2 linked regions of the Anolis sagrei genome follow. The protein of the gene in region 2 binds, or shares a complex with, the protein of the main gene of each other region. Links are inferred from orthologs where the notes say so. Each region holds a gene or a part of one and is shown on either strand. Other genes may lie near its edges.

Evidence for each region.
Region 1: the proteins of FMN2 (region 2) and SPIRE1 are in contact, whole or in part, in a crystal structure (PDB 2YLE), measured with the Homo sapiens proteins. The link is inferred for Anolis sagrei from reciprocal best matches to the Homo sapiens genes FMN2 and SPIRE1. Residues at the interface, in NP_064450.3 of Homo sapiens: Ser1702, Leu1703, Lys1705, Ile1706, Lys1707, Pro1708, Arg1709, His1710, Gly1713, Ile1714, Lys1715, Lys1717, Ile1718, Lys1721, Thr1722; in NP_001122098.1 of Homo sapiens: Gln51, Pro52, Ile53, Asn54, Glu127, Ile131, Tyr134, Lys135, Asp138, Leu141, Lys142, Glu143, Asn144, Glu145, Glu146, Arg147, Glu148, Glu154, Ile157, Asp158, Ala161, Asn162, Thr163, Val164, Glu165.

The regions. Positions count from the first base shown.
Region 1 is NC_090024.1:66,244,530-66,253,235, forward strand, and holds the start of SPIRE1 (protein spire homolog 1), read right to left. Parts: upstream 3,640-8,706; 5' UTR 3,498-3,639; coding exon 3,149-3,497; intron 1-3,148.
Region 2 is NC_090021.1:56,809,553-56,818,249, reverse strand, and holds the start of FMN2 (formin-2), read left to right. Parts: upstream 1-5,057; 5' UTR 5,058-5,366; coding exon 5,367-6,897; intron 6,898-8,697. UniProt on the Homo sapiens protein: Actin-binding protein that is involved in actin cytoskeleton assembly and reorganization. Acts as an actin nucleation factor and promotes assembly of actin filaments together with SPIRE1 and SPIRE2.

The sequences.
Region 1 (8,706 bases), on a different chromosome or scaffold from region 2:
TTATATATTTATGTGTTTTTATCTATCTAACTTATTTGGTAATTCATTATATTTTTTAATCTTCATGTATTTTTGAATTTGTTGTACCCTGCCTCAAGCCAGCAGTAAAGGTGTTAGATTGCATTATATATTTATGTACCTTTATCTATGTAATTTAGTAATTTCTTGTTTGTTTATGTGCATTTGTTTTTGAATTTGTTGCACTCTGCCTGTAGCCATTCGGAGAGGGGGTAATAAATAAAATGTATCATAGGAATGTATCATACTCTGATCATAGGAATTAGCTGGTTTTAAACAGTATGTATATATATATATATATACACACACACACACACACACACATAGATACATACATACACACACACACATAGATACATACATACACACACACACACACTGTTTTTAGAGGGATAAATCGTCTTTTAAACTTTTTAAATTTATGTTTACATTATCATGCTATTTTGCTTTTATAAACTGGTATGCAATTATTGTCTGTGTTATATCATTTACTGCATTCTGGGTTGCTGTGAGTTTTTCGGGCTGTATGGCATTCTCTCCTGACATTTCACCCACATCTATGGCAGGCATCCTCAGAGATTGTGAGGTTTGTTGGAAACAAAGCAAGTGGGGTTTTTTATGTCTGTGGAATGTCCAGGGTGGGAGAAAGAATTCTTGTCTGCCTGAGGCAAGTGTGAATGTTGCAACTGATCACCATGATTAGCACTGAATAACCTTGCAGCTTCAAGACTTGGCTGCTTCCTGCCTGGAGGAATCCTTTGTTTGGGAGGTGTTACCTGGCCCTGATTGTTTCCTGTCTGGAATTCCCCTGGTGTTTGAATGTTCCTTTTTAATTACTGTCCTGATTTTAGAGATTTTTTAATACTGGTAGCCAGATTTTGTCCATTTTCATGGTTTCCTCCTTTCTGTTGAAATTGTCCACATGCTTGTGGAGTACAATGGCTTCTCTGTGTAATCGGACATGGTGATTGTTAGAGTGGCCCAGCATTTCTGTGTTCTCAAGTCATATGCTGTGTCCAGGTTGGTTCATCAGGTGTTCTGCTACGGCTGACTTCTAGGCTGTGCTAATCAAGGTGTTCAATTGAAGCATTCATACTTGCCTTTAACAGACAAGAGTTCTTTCTCTCACCTTGGACCTTCAACAGATATATAAACCTTACTTGCGTTGTTTCCAACAGACCTCACAATCTCTGAGGATTCCTGCCACAGATGTGGGCGAAACATCAGGAGAGAATGCTTCTGGAACATGGCTATACAGCCCGGAAAACTCACAGCAACCCAGTGATTCTAGCCATTAAAGCCTTTGACAAACACATTTACTGTATTTGTTTATTTTGCTGTAAGCCACCCAAGTCCCTTTGGGGAGAGGGGTGGGATATAAATACCTTATTATTATTATTATTATTATTATTATTATGTAAAGGTAAAAGTTTTCCCCCAACATTAAGTCAAATCGTGTTCAACTCTGGGGGATGGTGCTCATCTCCATTTCTAAGCCGAAGAGCCGGCGTTGTTCGTAGACACCTCCAAGGTCATGGGGCCAGCATTACTACATGGAGGACCATTACCTTCCCACCAGAGCAGCATGTACTGATCTACTCACATTTGCATGTTTTCAAACTGCTAGGTTGACAGAAGCTGGGGCTAACAGCGGGAGCTCACCCCTTTCCCCAGATTCGAACCGCCAACCTTTTGGTCAGCAAGCTCAGCGGTTTAACATGCTGCGCCACCAGGGGGCTAAATACAAGAGCACTTCATTATCCTGCTATTTTGCTTTCACAAATTGATATGTGATCTTTGTCAGTGTTATACCATTTACTGTATTTGTTTGTTTGGCTGTAGGCCTTCCTGGGTCCCTTTGGGAAGAAGGGGGAAAAATATAAATAAAGTTTATTTATTTATTATTTTATTTATATTTACTGTATTGGTATACGGCCTTTCTCAGCCTGTCGGCGACTCAGGGCGGGTTAACAACAAATCAGTACACATAATATCATAATACAAATTAAAACATTAAAAACAATATAAAACCACAACAGAAGCCATAAAAACCAACATCATTAGCGTCTCCTTTATTATTTAATAGCCATCCCCTGCCACACGTTGCTGTGGCCCAGTCTCTGTATATGTGTTTTGTGTGTGTGTATATGAGTGTGTGTATGTTTGTTTATGTGTGTATATATGTATGTTTGTGTATATATGTGGTTTTGTGCATGTGTTGTGATGTAATTTTTGTTTTTTGGCTTCTTAAGTATCTTCTGCTATGTTTTTCTGTGTTTTTATGAGTGATGGTCACTCATTGGCCTGAAAGGTGTATTGTGTCCAAATTTGGTGTCAATTAGTCCAGTGGTTTTTGAGTTATATTAATCCCACAAATGAACATTGCATTAGGTTCTTGTGGGTTTTTTCGGGCTATAGGGCCATGTTCTAGAGGCATTTCTCCTGACGTTTCGCCTGCATCTATGGCAAGCATCCTCAGAGGTAGTGAGGTCTGTTTTAATAGTTTTACCGTATACCATGCCGCCGCGGATTTTGTCCTATTTCCAACAGACCTCACTACCTCTGAGGATGCTTGCCATAGATGCAGGCGAAACGTCAGGAGAAATGCCCTATAGCCCGAAAAAACCCACAAGAACCTAGTGATTCCAGCCATGAAAGCCTTCGACAATACATTGACCACTGTATTTTTATTTATATAGATTAGTAGTAGAAGTTATAGTATTTACAGCAAGCATGGGCAAACTGTGGCCCTCCTGATGTTTTGGACTTCAACTCCTACAATTCCTAACAGCGGCTGTTAGGAATTGTGGGAGTTGAAGTCCAAAACATCAGGAGGGCCGCAGTTTGCCCAGGCCTGATTTGCAATCTTGGTCACAATTTGCTTAGGGTTTTGCGGATTCCCGGGACCAAACCCCAGCGGATAAGGAAGGCCCAATATATAAACATGAGAGAGAAAGGCGAGCTAAGGATAACGTGAGGGAAGGAGGGGACAGCAAGGGCAAGGCGGGGGTCCGTTGCTAGGAGAGGATTCTCCCCCTAGCAACGGATCCCCCGGGCAGGGAGGGGCTCTCCCCCTGCGTTGCTAGGAGACGGGAGGGGGGCCGTCGCCATGGGAACGGAGGGCTCCTACCTGCTCCTCCGGGGCCTCCTCCTCCTCCTCGGTCCAAGGTGACGGCGCCGTCCCTGGCGATGCGGATGTCGGCGGGGCTCTCCACCCGGCGTCCCAGCGGCGACGACGACGACTCTCTCCGGAGAGACCCGCAGCACTGGTAGCACACGGCCCAGGCCTGCTCCTCGTTGATGGGCTGGTTGTAGAGCCTCAGGATCTCCTCCAGAGAGAGCGCCTCCCGCAGTGGAGCCAAGGGCGCCTCCTCCTCGTCGTCGTCCTCGTCCTTCTCGCCGTCGCCTCGTCCTCCCCTGCGGAGCCCCGAAGGGCCCGGCAAGGGCTCCTCGCTGCCTCCCGCCGCCGCCGCAGCCATTCCCTCTAGCTCCGCTCGCCTCGGCTGCGCCGCTTCAAGTGGCCCGCATCTCCCGATAGGCTCCGCCCACCTCCTGCTTCGCCGCCTCGGGAAAGAGAGCGCGTGAGGCGCCCGACGCAGCGCGCGCCTGCCGCCAGCAATCCACTGGAGGAGGAGGAGGAGCAGGCCCCGCCCAGCACGCGGGAGCGCCCCTCGCGCACCGGCGCCCTCCTCCGGCCGGCGCGCGCGCAGCAGGAAACACAGCACGCAAGGATGGGTGTCTTTGGTTTGTCTTTGGTTGTTCTGTGCCGTTACGCCCAGACGCTTTATAAAACAAACTCTGATGTACTGCTATCTATGTCTGGGCGAAACTGCTGGGGTCTTTCTTTAGAAGATTGAGCTTTCTTGAATAACTGAGACCACTTCAAGATTAAACATTAAACAGGGTATTTATTAACAAAGTCCTTGTAGACTTGGCTCAGCTTATTAATGTTACCAAACAATCAATCAATCTATCTATCTATGTCTATCTATCTATATCTATATCTGTATCTATATCTGTATATATAATAAAGAAGAGTGTTTGTTTGTATAGGACAGAGGAAGGACGGAGGGAGGGCGGAAGTGTATGTGCCAGCGTTCTGATTGGCTGCCGCTGTGGTGCTATTTGCATATGGTCTCTGATTGGCCAGCTTCAATAGGAGCCCCTGGTGGAGAAGAGGGTTCATGGCAGAAACGGGGCATGACAGAAGGAAATTTGCATATGGTCTCTGATTGGCCAGCCTCAAATGCAAGATTCCGAGATGAGAAAGAGAGGAAAGGAAAGGCCGGGGGCTGGGTCAGAACACTACCAATACAGACCGAAATTGGCACACAGAGCCCCCATCACCCACTCTACATCCTACTGCAGTTTGGAGGAGGATGAACCATGGATGATGGGACTTGCAGTACCACCACTCACATTCTGAGACTGCTGTTAACCTCATCCAGTGACTGATCAGGACCAAACTTCGCACATAGACCTCTCATGACCCACTGTACGTCCTGGTGTGGTTTGGCCGGGGATGGACCGTGGATTATGGGACTTGCAGTACCATTGCTCAATTCTTCAGACCACTGCAGCCCTCATCCAATTACCGATAAATACCAAACTTGGCACACTGAGTCTCCATGACGCACTCTACATCCAGGTGCAGTTTGAAGGAGGATGCACCATGGACGATGGGACTTACAATACCTAAACTCCCTTCCTAAGACCATTACAACTGCCAACGATGATGGATCAGGACCACAATTTACACTGAGAGCCTGCATGACCCACTCTACATCCTGGTGCGGTTTGGAAGAATTTGGCAATGGATGATGGGACTTGCAATCATTTCACTCACTTCCTGAGATCACTGCGACCCTCGCCAATGACTGATCAAGACCAAACTTGGCAAACAGAGTCCCCCATGACCCACTCTACATCCTGGTGCACTTTCGAGGAGGACAGACCATGGATGATGGGACTTGAAGTACCTCCACTCCCTTCCCAAGACTGCTGCAACCCTCATCTAATGTCCAAACAAAACCAAACTTGGCACACAGAGCCCCCATGACCCACTCTACATCCTAATACGGTTTGGAGTAGGGCATGCCATGGATGATGGGACTTGAAGTACCTCTACTCGCTTTCCGAGACTGCTGCGACCCTCAACAATGACTGAACAACACCAAACTTGGCACATAGACCTCTCATGACCCACTTTATGCCCTGGTGAGGTTTGACTGTGGATCGTGCATGGATTTTGGGACTTGCAGTACCTTCGCTCAATTTCTGAGACCACTGCAAAACATCATCCAATTTCTGATAAGGACCAAACTTGGCACACCGGGTCTCCATTATGCACTCTACATCCTGGTATGGTTTGGAGGATGATGCACCATGGATGATGGGACTTAGAGTACCTTCACTCAGTGAAACCACTGAGACCCTCATCCAATGACTGATGAAGACCAAACTTGGCACACAGAGCTCCCATGGCCAACTCAACATTCTGGTGAGGTTTGGGAGAGAACAGACTATGGATGATGGGACTTCAAGTACCTCCACTCCCTTCCCAAGACAGCTGCAACCCTCATCTAATGTCTGATCAAGATCAAACTTGGCACACAGAGCCCCCATGACCCACTCTGCATCCTGCTGCAGTTTGAAGGAGGATCGACTTTGGATGATGGGACTTACAGTACCATCACTCACATTCTGAGACCGCTGTTAACCTCATCCAATGTCTGATCAGGACCAAACTTGCCACATAGACCTCTCATGACCCACTTTACCTCCTGGTGTGTGTTTGGCTGGGGATAGACCATGGATTATGAGACTTGCAGTACTTTTGCGCAATTCCTGAGACCACTGCAACGCTCATCCAATTACCGATAAAGACCAAACTTGGCACACTGAGTCTCCATGACGCACTCTACATCCAGGTGCAGTTTGAAGGAGGGTGCACCATGGACGATGGGACTTGCAATACCTGCACTCCCTTCCTAAGACCATTACAACTGACAACAATGATGGATCAGGACCACAATTTACACAGAGACCCAGCATGACCCACTCTACATCCTGGTGCGGATTGGAAGAATTTGACAATGGATGATGGGACTTGCAGTACCTTCACTCACTTACTGACACCACTGCCACCCTCATCTAATGACTGATAAAGACCAAACTTGGCACACAGAGCCCCCATGACCCACTCTATATCCTGCTGCTGTTTGTAGGAGGATGGCCCATGGATGATGGGACTTCAGGTACCTTCACTCACTTCCTGAAAATAATGCAGCCATTATCCAAAGACCAATAAAGTCCAAACTTGGCATACAGAACCGCCATTACCTACTTTCTCTAATAACCCGGGCAACGCCGGGTCCCCAAGCTAGTATATAATAAAGAAGAGTGTTTGTATGTGGAGGGAGGACGTAGGGCGGAAAAGTTTGTGGCAGCGTTCTGATTGGCTGCCACTATGCTGCTATTTGCATATGGTCTCTGATTGGGCAGCTTCAATAGGAGCCCCTGGTGGAGAAGAGGGTTCATGGCAGAAACGGGGCATGACAGAAGGAAATTTGCATATGGCCTCTGATTGGCCAGCCTCAAATCCAACATTCCGAGATGAGAAAGAGAGGAAAGGAAAAGGCCAGAGGGGGCTGAGTCAGAACACTACCAATACAGACCGAAATAGGCACACAGAGCCCCTATCACCCACTCTACATCCTACTGCAGTTTGGAGGACTAGGAACCATGGATGATGGGACTTGCAGTACCACCACTCACATTCTGAGACCGCTGTTAACCTTATCCAATGACTGATCAGGACCAAATTTCACACAGAGACCTCTCATGACCCACTTTACGTCCTGGTGTGGTTTGGCCGAGATGGACCGTGGATTATGGGACTTGCAGTACCACTGCTCAATTCTTCAGACCACTGCAACCCTCATCCAATTACCGATAAATACCAAACTTGGCACACTGAGTCTCCATGACGCACTCTACATCCAGGTGCAGTTTGAGGGAGGATGCACCATGGATGATGGAACTTGCATTACCTGCACTCCCTTCCTAAGACCATTACAACTGCCAACGATGATGGATCAGGACCACAATTTACACAGAGAGCCTGCATAACTCACTCTACATCCTGGTGCGGTTTGGAAGAATTTGACAATGGATGATGGGACTTGCAGTCACTTCACTCACTTCCTGAGACCACTGAGACCCTCGCCAATGACTCATCAAGACTAAACTTGGCATCGCCTAATCCAGTTTCTACGTTGTCCATAGTCATAGTCAGCGCCATCGCCCGGTCTGGTTTTTCATCTTCTTTGGTCGGGGTATTCGGTCGGAGACGCTTCCTTGTGTTTCCTGTTGATGGTGATTCTTCTACCTGGGATGTTGTGCCTTCTCTTTTTATCCTTTGTAGAAAGGCTTTAGCCTTCTCCTCACTTTTAATCCAATATCTCTCATCTTTGAAGGTGCCCATTAGACCTTCCGATTTGTCCCACCTAAATTTGATGCTGCGTCTCTTCAGTTCTTGGGTTAAAAACGAATATTTTTTGCGTCTGTCCAGTATTGATTTAGGAATTTCTTTGAGTACTATGATTTTCTTTCCATCTAGTGTTAAAGGGTTTTTATTAGATTGTCTCAGGATTTCATCTCTAGTATATTTGCGCGTGAAACGCACCATCACGTCTCTTGCAACCTTGTTTTGTTTGGCGAAGGACGATTGAACTCGGTAGGTGCGGTCTATTTCTTGTTGAATTGTTCCTTCTGGTATGTCGGTGTGGGTTGCCAGTAGATTAATAATTTTTGCTCTTAGATCTTCTTGAGATTCTTCCTGAAGATTCCTCAGTCTCAAAAAATATTCCATCTCCTCTTGCTGGGCATGTTCCAGCTCCCTTATAGTCCTGTCATTTTTTGCCGATAGTTCTTCTAGTTCGCGTTGCATCTTTTTTTGCTCCTTCCCTAGCTTGCAGCTATCGTTCTTAATTATATTTATGTCGTTAGAGTTCTTCATAATGTCCTTTCTAATAGTACCTAGGTCTTCTTTAAACTCTTTCCTCATTAGCTCAAGTTGGGCCTGTTGTTTGATTTGGCTTTCCCTAATGGACTTCAGTTCTTTCTTGTTCTCTTCTTGATTTTCAGTTATTTTTTCCGATAGTTTTTGAAGTTCTTTCAGGATGTCTTTCATGTTAATGTCCTCTTGCCCCGAGCCTCTTCTACCCGGGTTTTTGGGGTCTTTTAATTCTTTGTCAAGCTTTGCTTTGGGGGTATTCATCCTTCCCTTCTTTACCAGAGTTTCCCTAAGTAGTCGCTTAGCTTGCCTTGGCGATATATGCCTTGTTTTACAGGGTGGTCGATGATCGTCTGGGGGAGGGATTTCCACTGCTGGTTTTCTTGCCAGCCTCTGTCTACCTTTGTTTGTTTGGCTGGCAGCCAGGGGAAACAGCCCCCTGTCCTTCCCTGCCTGCCGCTTCCCTGGCAGAGGGAGGGCCCTTCTACAGAGTCTTATTTCTTCAAGCGGATAGGGTTAGCATAATTGCTAGGTCTTACCTTCTTACACGGCTCAGTGTGGGTCCTTTTCAGCGTGATTAGTCCTTAGAGCAGTGATTCCTCCCGTCCCCGCGACGTTTCGTAGCTTCACTCCCTCTCCGTCTTCCGTAGCAGCTGGAGGCTGCAGGCAAT
Region 2 (8,697 bases):
TTGATGCCACTTTAACTGACAGAGCTCCATCTTGTGGAATCTTGGGATTTGTAGTTGGTGAGGAAGCAGCACTTTAGGGCAGAGAAAGCCAAAAACCTTGTAACAATACAACTCTCAGGATTCCATAGGATGGAGCTCTAGCAGTTAAAGCAGTGTTGAATTCTATAGTGTATGTGCACCCTGGGAATTAAGAGTCCAACAATATCTGAAGGGCCATATATACTAATTCTGAAAAGGTCCTCATAAAAGCAAACAGGATAAGAACATTTTAATCATACACTAAAATTAGCCTCCCATTGTTGCTTTCTTCTAAAGAAGTGCTAAACAAAATTCCCTACAGCTGTAGAAAAGAGCAGTGCAAAAGAAATTATTGTTTACTTCAAAGTCCCCCCCCCCCTATTTTTTTTCCTTTCAAGGACACAAACTTCCCTTCTCTTTCATCTGGTTATCTCTAACCTACATGGTCCCAGGGAATTTTGTGTATTTCCTTTATAACCCAAGACATGCTAGCATTGTTTGGCTACTCTCTCCAAGGATTCCCCATGCCCCAGGCAGGAATGTGTCCCTCCAGTGAGCTTTAGGTTTCTTCCAGGAAATGCTAGTTTACCTGCTTTAGGTAAATGGAATGAAAATGCCCAGCCTCTTTCCTCTTTCAGAATATACTACATGAATGCCTATGCAGTGCAAACTGATCGGGATGAAAGGGAAGGTATGGAGAATTTTAGTTGAATTTTCATGGATGCCTGTGTTGTATAATGTAAGTTTGGTTCTGTGTTATACCTTTTTTTTCTACTTGTTTGCAGTTCTGTTTTATTTGTGTATTTAAATTAATCAGTTAAATTGAAATGTAAATGTTTATATTTGCCCCTATGTATAGAGATCTGAAGGAAGGAAGAGAGAACAGCATTAATCAATTATGAAATAATTTAAATTAATTCAACAAGACCAATAAGGTACAGACATCCATACCGCAGTGGGTCTGAGTCAAGACTTGGTTTCCTGGCCCCAAATTTTGTGATGGACGGTGAAGTTTGAGGATTAGGAGTTTCTGAATCTGTATATTATGTTTCAAACTTTGGAAAATTGTTGTATATTAATTAGCTTAAAATTTTAGAGACACGTGCAAACACCCACCACACTTAAGTCATAATCTTAAACATTCTGCGGGCATATGTTCTTTCTGCTTTTTTATTTTACTTGTGCAGTAGTGTCTCAAATCTTTGAATCAGACATTTAACATGAAACCAAATCTTTTTGAGGTTAACCCACACCTCAAGTTCAGTTGGTTGAGAACAGAAGGAAGCTCAAATGCTATGGCCATATCACCCTGAACATGCCTGATCTTATCTGATCTTGAAAGCTAAGCAGAGTTGGGCCTAGTTAGTACTTGGATGGAAGACCACCTGGGAATACTGGGCGCTGTAAGCTAAAGAATGTTGGGGGTGCTTTGAATGTGATTTTCCTGCTTCTTGGCAGGGGGTTGGACTGGATGGCCCATGAGGTCTCTTCCAACTCTATGATTCTAATGAAAATGCTTAGAGGGCTGTGCGTAGTTTTCTCTTCTTTTCTGTGTAGATTTAGGACCATTTTGTTGACTTGTTAAATTCATCTTGAACAGTGTCATTCTCATTCATTGGGGCTAGCCTTGAAAATGTAGTTTAAAAATAGTTCTTATGCAGACACTTCAGTAGTGTCTCAATTGGCATGAGACATATGGGGGTGGGGTATAAAATGCTTTAAAGTTGTAATTTTTTGAAATGTAGTGTCTGCATACTACAGTAAATGTATACATTGTATAATCCTTAGTCAGTAGCATCATACATATATTCATTCCAGGTCTTGGAAACAAGTAGATGAATTTAACTAGCTGTTTGCACAGTTTGGTGACTCTTCCCCCAATGAAACGTAATGAGTTGATTTGTTGATCAATAGCACTCACTAATGTTGCTGAGATATAACTAGTTAAATTTATTTAGTTGTGTCTTAAAAAATCTCTAGTGAGGCTTTCAAAGTAAGTTTGGTGGCTTTAGAACACACTATTAATATGCTGCAGTAACTAAATGCTTTTCCTCGTTATGCATGGCACAGGGAGCATTCGGAATAGGAGAATTTTAAGAGAGCAGAGAGGTAATTGGGAATTGAAGATTGTAGAAAATGAACTTTGAATCTCTGATCCTTGTGTACAACATACACATTGGAGCATTTATCTACACAAGACCATGGGCCCATCCAGACAGGGCCTTTATTGTGGGAACTCCCACAATAAAGGAGGGGCTGTCCAGACAACATTCTGGACAGTCCTGAATTAATTCACTACAAACTAGGAGAACCCTGGTTTGTAGCGAATAAATTTGATAGTGGATTTATCCTATGCCTTTTTGGAAGGTGCGATAAATGCATTATTTCTGGTGTCTGTTCTACAGTCCAGACACCATTCCCACAGTTTACCGGCTAAATAAGCCTGGTAAACTGTGGGAATACCCACCCTCCCCCCAAGCCCCCAGACCCCTTAGTTAAAAAAAACTTACCAGGCCTGCAGTATACCCTCGGAGCAGCTCTTCCAGTGTATACAAATGACACGCCAGGAGAGCTGGGGGAGGGGGTGGAGAGGAGAAAATCCCTCCCCCATTCTTCTGGCACGTCATTTGTACGTGCCGGGAGAGCTGCTCTGAGGGTATACTGCAGACCTGGTAAGTTTTTGTAACCTTTCTAAGGGGTCTGAGGGCTTGGGGGGAGGGGGGTAGGGCCTCCGGACATTCTCTCAGGCTAGTCTCAAGAGAACGTCTGGATAACCCACCCCAGAATGCGTGCATTATTTTAATGTGGATGCTTCTGGGATAAAGGCCTGTCTGAATCCGGCCCATTTGACTCTGAAAGTTGAAGATGTAGTTATCCAGTATTGCAGAAAAAGTTTTGCATATGTTCTGAATCACTCAAAATACTTCTGAATAAGACTTCTTTACCTTTAGTTCACTGCCTGATGTTTGTAGCTAGCTGCTTTTTGCTGCACTTCAATTTTGCTTTGATTCAATGTGTTGTGACTCAAATGAACAGTCTTCCCCTTATTTATCATCTCCAATTCAAGAAAGGGTAAAAGGTAAAGTAGTTTGTTAGGGGACAATTGTAACCAATTGTGTCATTTTTTTTAAAAAAAGATTGTTAACTATTTTATTAACAAGTTACTTCACAGTAACAGAACCTATTAAATTCTAGATGTCTCAATATTAACAGTTGCACATTTTCCCACTTTTGGAATAACCAATCTGTCTGCCAGTTCCTTTTCTTTTCTTTCTTTCCATTACTTCTCTTTTTGTCAGCAACTAAAGACCTTTTCATATAAGCAGGCTCTTGGCCTTTAACCTGTTGTGGTTGAATAGGAGGTGTTATACTTTTATCCTATTTAATGCATTAAAGTGCTTCAACTTGTCTTAAACAGTTTTATTTTAGAACAATTGGCCCTTCCTAGCCATGAATTCTGCGTGCACACATTTCCTCATCAACAACTTGAATTTTAAGAAAAATTCCAAAAGCAAACCTTAATGTAATGGACATTGTTGTACTAAACAATTGCATATAAACAAACAAATAAATAAATAATCCCCATGGATTATTCATGAGTCACTATATTTTAATGAAATTGCTTATATTTTTTTAAAAGTCATGTGGATCTTAGATATGTTTTGTTCTAATTTGTTATAAGTAGCTTTAGGTCCCATACCAGGAGAAAAGCAGGATACAAAATAAATGAGTGAAATAAATGTTAAGGAATCACTGTTTTTGTTTTGTGTATTTTGATACATATTTTATGGAGGTATATTTTAATATGTGTATTTTACAGAATGTTTTAAAATGATTGTATGTTGTTTATGTTTTCATAATGCTCTAACCTGCCTTGAGCTGTGAGGACAGGCGGGCAAGAAATAAAACTATTCTTCTTCTTCTTCTTCTTCTTCTTCTTCTTATTATTATTATTATTATTAAACCTAAAATTACAATATTTTGGTCTATTAGCAGTACTGCCAGTTGGTTCAATAAATATCTGTATGCAAGTTGGAAGTGATCTGTGAATTCAGTGGAGTAGATTTTTTTTAATAAAAAGGACACATCTTTATTTTCCTTATCCATTTTTAATTATCTGGTTTTTTTCTGATAATGATATACAGTATCTGGTATAGGCTGCTGCTAAGGTCATGGAACAGATGGGACTTGGGGCTGATTTGCAATAGCAGGCCTTATACTGCTCTTGTTCCGTAGATACATTACTTTTAAAATGGCAATCCCATGATCATAAAACTATAAGGCTGATGTGTGTGTATTACAGTAAGGATTAATTTATATAAACCACTACCAGGAAGAGAAGCAATTATACTTAATGAGCCATACAATATGTTAAAAGTCATTGTTATAGAACATATAGATATGACCTGAAGCATAACTTGTTTTAGATCTTGGTGATAGTGTAATTATTTATACCAGAGCGAGGCTAGGGGAACAATCTATGTGAGCTGAATATTGATGAACTTTATCCCTTTGAGGATTACCATTATTTGTGTCCTTTTGGCATACAGATGGCTTATTTCTGAATGGTCATATAGAACAAAAAATTAAATAATCTGCAGTATTGTTAGCCTTTAAAATTTCAGGGAATTATTGTGTTAATGTTTTGTTTAAAAAATGTAAAAGTTTGTGAGAGAGTTTCAAAACCAGAATACTGTCTGAATTTTTACAAAATTGAATGCACAGTACTTGTACATATATTGCATTTTAGCAAAATGTGAATTAAAGCATCATTTTTTTTTTTACAAAGGTTAAAAATACTACTTTTTTCAGGGAACAGCCAGAAAGTTTTATGTGAAGCCTGAGTTTTAATTTCCCTCTTTCTTTTTCTTGCTCTCTTTTCCTTCCCAACATAAAATTCCAGGAAGTCAAACTTTTGAAGTCTTGAAATTTAAGACATGCAACGACAAACTGATCCACCCCCAGTAACAATGCAGGGGATTCAGGCAGTGGAGGGAAAAAATCCTGTTGTCAAGGCATCCTTATTCACATCAACCAAAGGGAGCCTGGAGTGTAGCAGCAGACTCTGTCTGAAGAGGCAACGCTGCCACGAGCCACCATTGGAAGGAGCTGTCTGCATCTCTCGGTGCTCTACTGAGCATGTCCCAGAGGAGCTCTATGCCAGCAGCACATTATGCAAAAAAGCAGCTCGAGCAGCTGAGAGGGAGGCAGAACAAGCCTTTGCTCCACTTGCATCACCGCTGCTTGAAAACAAACCTGGATTACCCGAAAGGTCTCCGCTGCCAGGCCAGCTGAATGAAACCGAACGACATGACTTGATTCCTGATGCTGCACCACTGCAAAGCAATATGGGGAATCAAGATGGGAAACTGAAGAAGAATGCAGGTGATGCACACGATGGAGGTGAGGATGCTTCAGGGCCCAGGGATGCGGATGGCACAAAGAAGGGAGCAGGGAGCAAAAAGGGACTGGGGAAGCATGGCAAAGGGAATGAATCGGGTAAAAAGAAGGGCAAGTCAGAGTCCCGAGGCTCTGTGTTTTCCAATCTGCGGATCAGAAAGAATCTCTCCAAAGCAAAGGATGGAAACAGCAGCTCAAGAGAGGATGTTTTAGAAAGCCAGGCCTCACAAACAGGGGAGCTAGACAGCGCTCATTCAGTCCTCACCAAAACTCCTGATATTAGCATTTCTGCAGATGAGGGGGGTCTCTCAGACACAGATGTGGAACATTTTGAACATACAAATGAAACTCGCCCAGCTGCAGCCGAGCCGCAGGATGGACAAAGGACCAGCTCCGGCTCCGATACGGATATATACAGTTTCCATTCAGCCACAGAACAAGAGGATTTGCTTTCTGATATCCAGCAGGCTATTAGACTGCAACTGCAGCAGCAGCAGGGGGCAATTAATATTGGAACTGAGCAGAATGGCACCAAAACAATGGGCCTACACATGGCTAATTCTCAAGCAGCCCCCTTCGATTTTGAAAGGTTTCTTTCATTAAGCAGTGACAAAGACAGCAGTCCAGAAACAGAACAACCTGTCTCAGCTAAATCGGAAATTGCAGACTATATCCCTACAAGTGATATCGAAAGTGGAGTGAAAGGGGTGACAAATGGAACAGGGCATTCCTGCAGCAGTGTATTTGATGTGCAAGAAGAACATAAGCAGTTGCCAGAAGAGCAAAGGCAATCTGCCAGTGAACAAAAAGCTGCAGCAACAGAAAATGGGACTCTGCTAGCCAGAACAGTGTTTAATTTCCCATCACCAATTGGGGAATCGGAAACTGAGGTGATGGCTTTTGAATTTTCAGGTTCAGAAAGGGAGGAAGAGGATATTGCTGACACAAGCCACAGCCAAGCTGAAGGAGCCAAAGACAGGAAAAGGAGTATATCAGCTAGCAGGGAGGCCTTAGATGATGGCTTTACTGCTACAATAAAAAATGGAACTCTGTCCTCCAATGATGTCTCAAGTAGTCCTATGCATAGTTCCAAAGGTTTAAAGCCCTTTCCTCCCATTAACCCATGCTATATCAAAACCACCACTAGGCAGTTGAGTTCTCCAAATCATTCGCCCTGTCTGTCGCCATCCCAAAGTCCACTCTTCAAAAGGAGACGTGAGTCTGCTCAGAGGAAAGAAAATGTGTCATCCAAGAAGCAGAGGTCATCCAGTTTGGCTGGTCCATTTAGCCGATCAGCAGACTGGACAGATGAGGTTTTCAATCATCGAGGTGATGTAGCTCAAAAGTCAGGCTCTGCAGATTTCTTGGAGTACAGACGGAGTAGAGACGGCTTCCAGGGAGAGAGAGTGCCTTTGAATCACTTGAGAAAGTCCTCTGGGACTCCAGCTTCCACTGACACCTTCCCCAATGTTTTTACAGGTGAGTGCTAATTGTAAATGAACATTAGCTGTTGACTCAAGTCTTAGGAGTAAGCTCTTCATACAGAACTAATAATGCAGGTTTTCTATTTTAGATTAGATCAGTGGTTCTCAACCTGTGGGTCCCCAGGTGTTTTGGCCTACAACTCCCAGAAACCTCAGTCTGTTTACCAGGTGTTAGGATTTCTGGGAGTTGCAGACTAAAACATCTGGGGACCCACAGGTTGAGAACCACCGGATTAGATTAAAAACCCAAATTCTGCATATATATATATGTATGTGTGTATATATATATATCAGATTCCATTGGAAATGAATGTATGGCAAAGCATCAATTTAGAACTCTTCTAGGTGAGATATATTAAGTATATGCATTGGGCAACTAATATTGTGTGTAGTAATAGTGTCTTGTGTGATTAACATTCAAAGTGCTTTACATTCTTAATAGGGAGCTACTCATCTTTGCAACAGGGTGCATTAATGAAAGCTAATGATCTGACCAAGGCCTCCCAATGAATAAATCTAGACCAGCCAAACACAATTGAATCTAGACCAGCCAAACTACACACGGTTTTGTTCACTGGGCTGATTTCTTATATAACTTTTGATACATTTCTGTTTCCTAATATTTTGTGTCTTGTTTCTTTACAACAATATTGAAAGTTCAGATGTTTTCCATTCTTGAGAACATAAACTTGGAATAACAATGGGCAGTGAGCCAGATTTCAGGCCCCTTCTCCATGCAGATATCTACTGAAACCTTACATAGTTTCAGTATTGATTTCCACAGCCTTGCTTTGCTTTATTCTGATGCTTAAAACCATTTTATGAAGTTAGTAGTGAGGTACCAGGCAAGAAAATTGATGGAGATGCTTTTTGCTTTGCTTCAAATACTTTTTGGTTCTGACCACTATAATGATATCTTGTGATGCTCTGTTCAAACCCAGAAGCACTTGAGAGAAAGAGAAAACAGCTCAACACTTCACTTGCATCAGGTGCACTTTTAAGAAAGATTTATTACCCAGTGGGTTGCACAAATAGTTTTGTACACATTAGCTCTTACTCTTGACACTGTCCAGCTAAAACATATGGGATCTGCCCCCCTACTACTTACAAAATGATTATGTTATAGGTCCCCAAGGCCTTGATGTACCCTCAAAAATCCATTATAAGAGTCCAGAGGTTTTCGGACAGTGGTTCTCAACCTGTGGGTCCCCAGATGTTTTGGCCTTCAACTTCCTGAAATCCTAACAGCAGGTAAACTGGCTGGGATTTCTGGGAGTTGTAGGCCAAAACATCTGACGACTCACATGTTGAGAACCACTGTTGTAGGAGAAAAGGAAGTATGTGCAATAGCTGCCTGGCCTATCCCAACAGTGTTTAGCAGCACCATAGGATCTTACGTTTGTAAAAGTGGTAACAGTGTCAGCTAGAACGAGCGCCCTGAAGCAATACCAGATGTTTAACTATGCTGCATGCTGACACTGAGACTTCTGGGTTGGTATTTACTGTGCCTCAGCTTCTCGGCCGAATGCCATCTGGTAGCTAAACATTGACAATATACAGTATAATCTATAATTCCATTTATGTAAAAGCATGTCTTAGGATGCATCTGCTCTGTAGAATGAATGCAGTTTGACACCACTTTAACTGTCATGGCTCAATACTATGGAGTCCTGGGAGTTGTAGTTTTCCAAGGTACCTTACCCTTTCTGCTGAAGAGTGCTGGTGCCTCACCAAACAATAAAACCCAGGATTCCATAGAAGTAAACCATGTCAGTACTACACTCATTTGACAGTG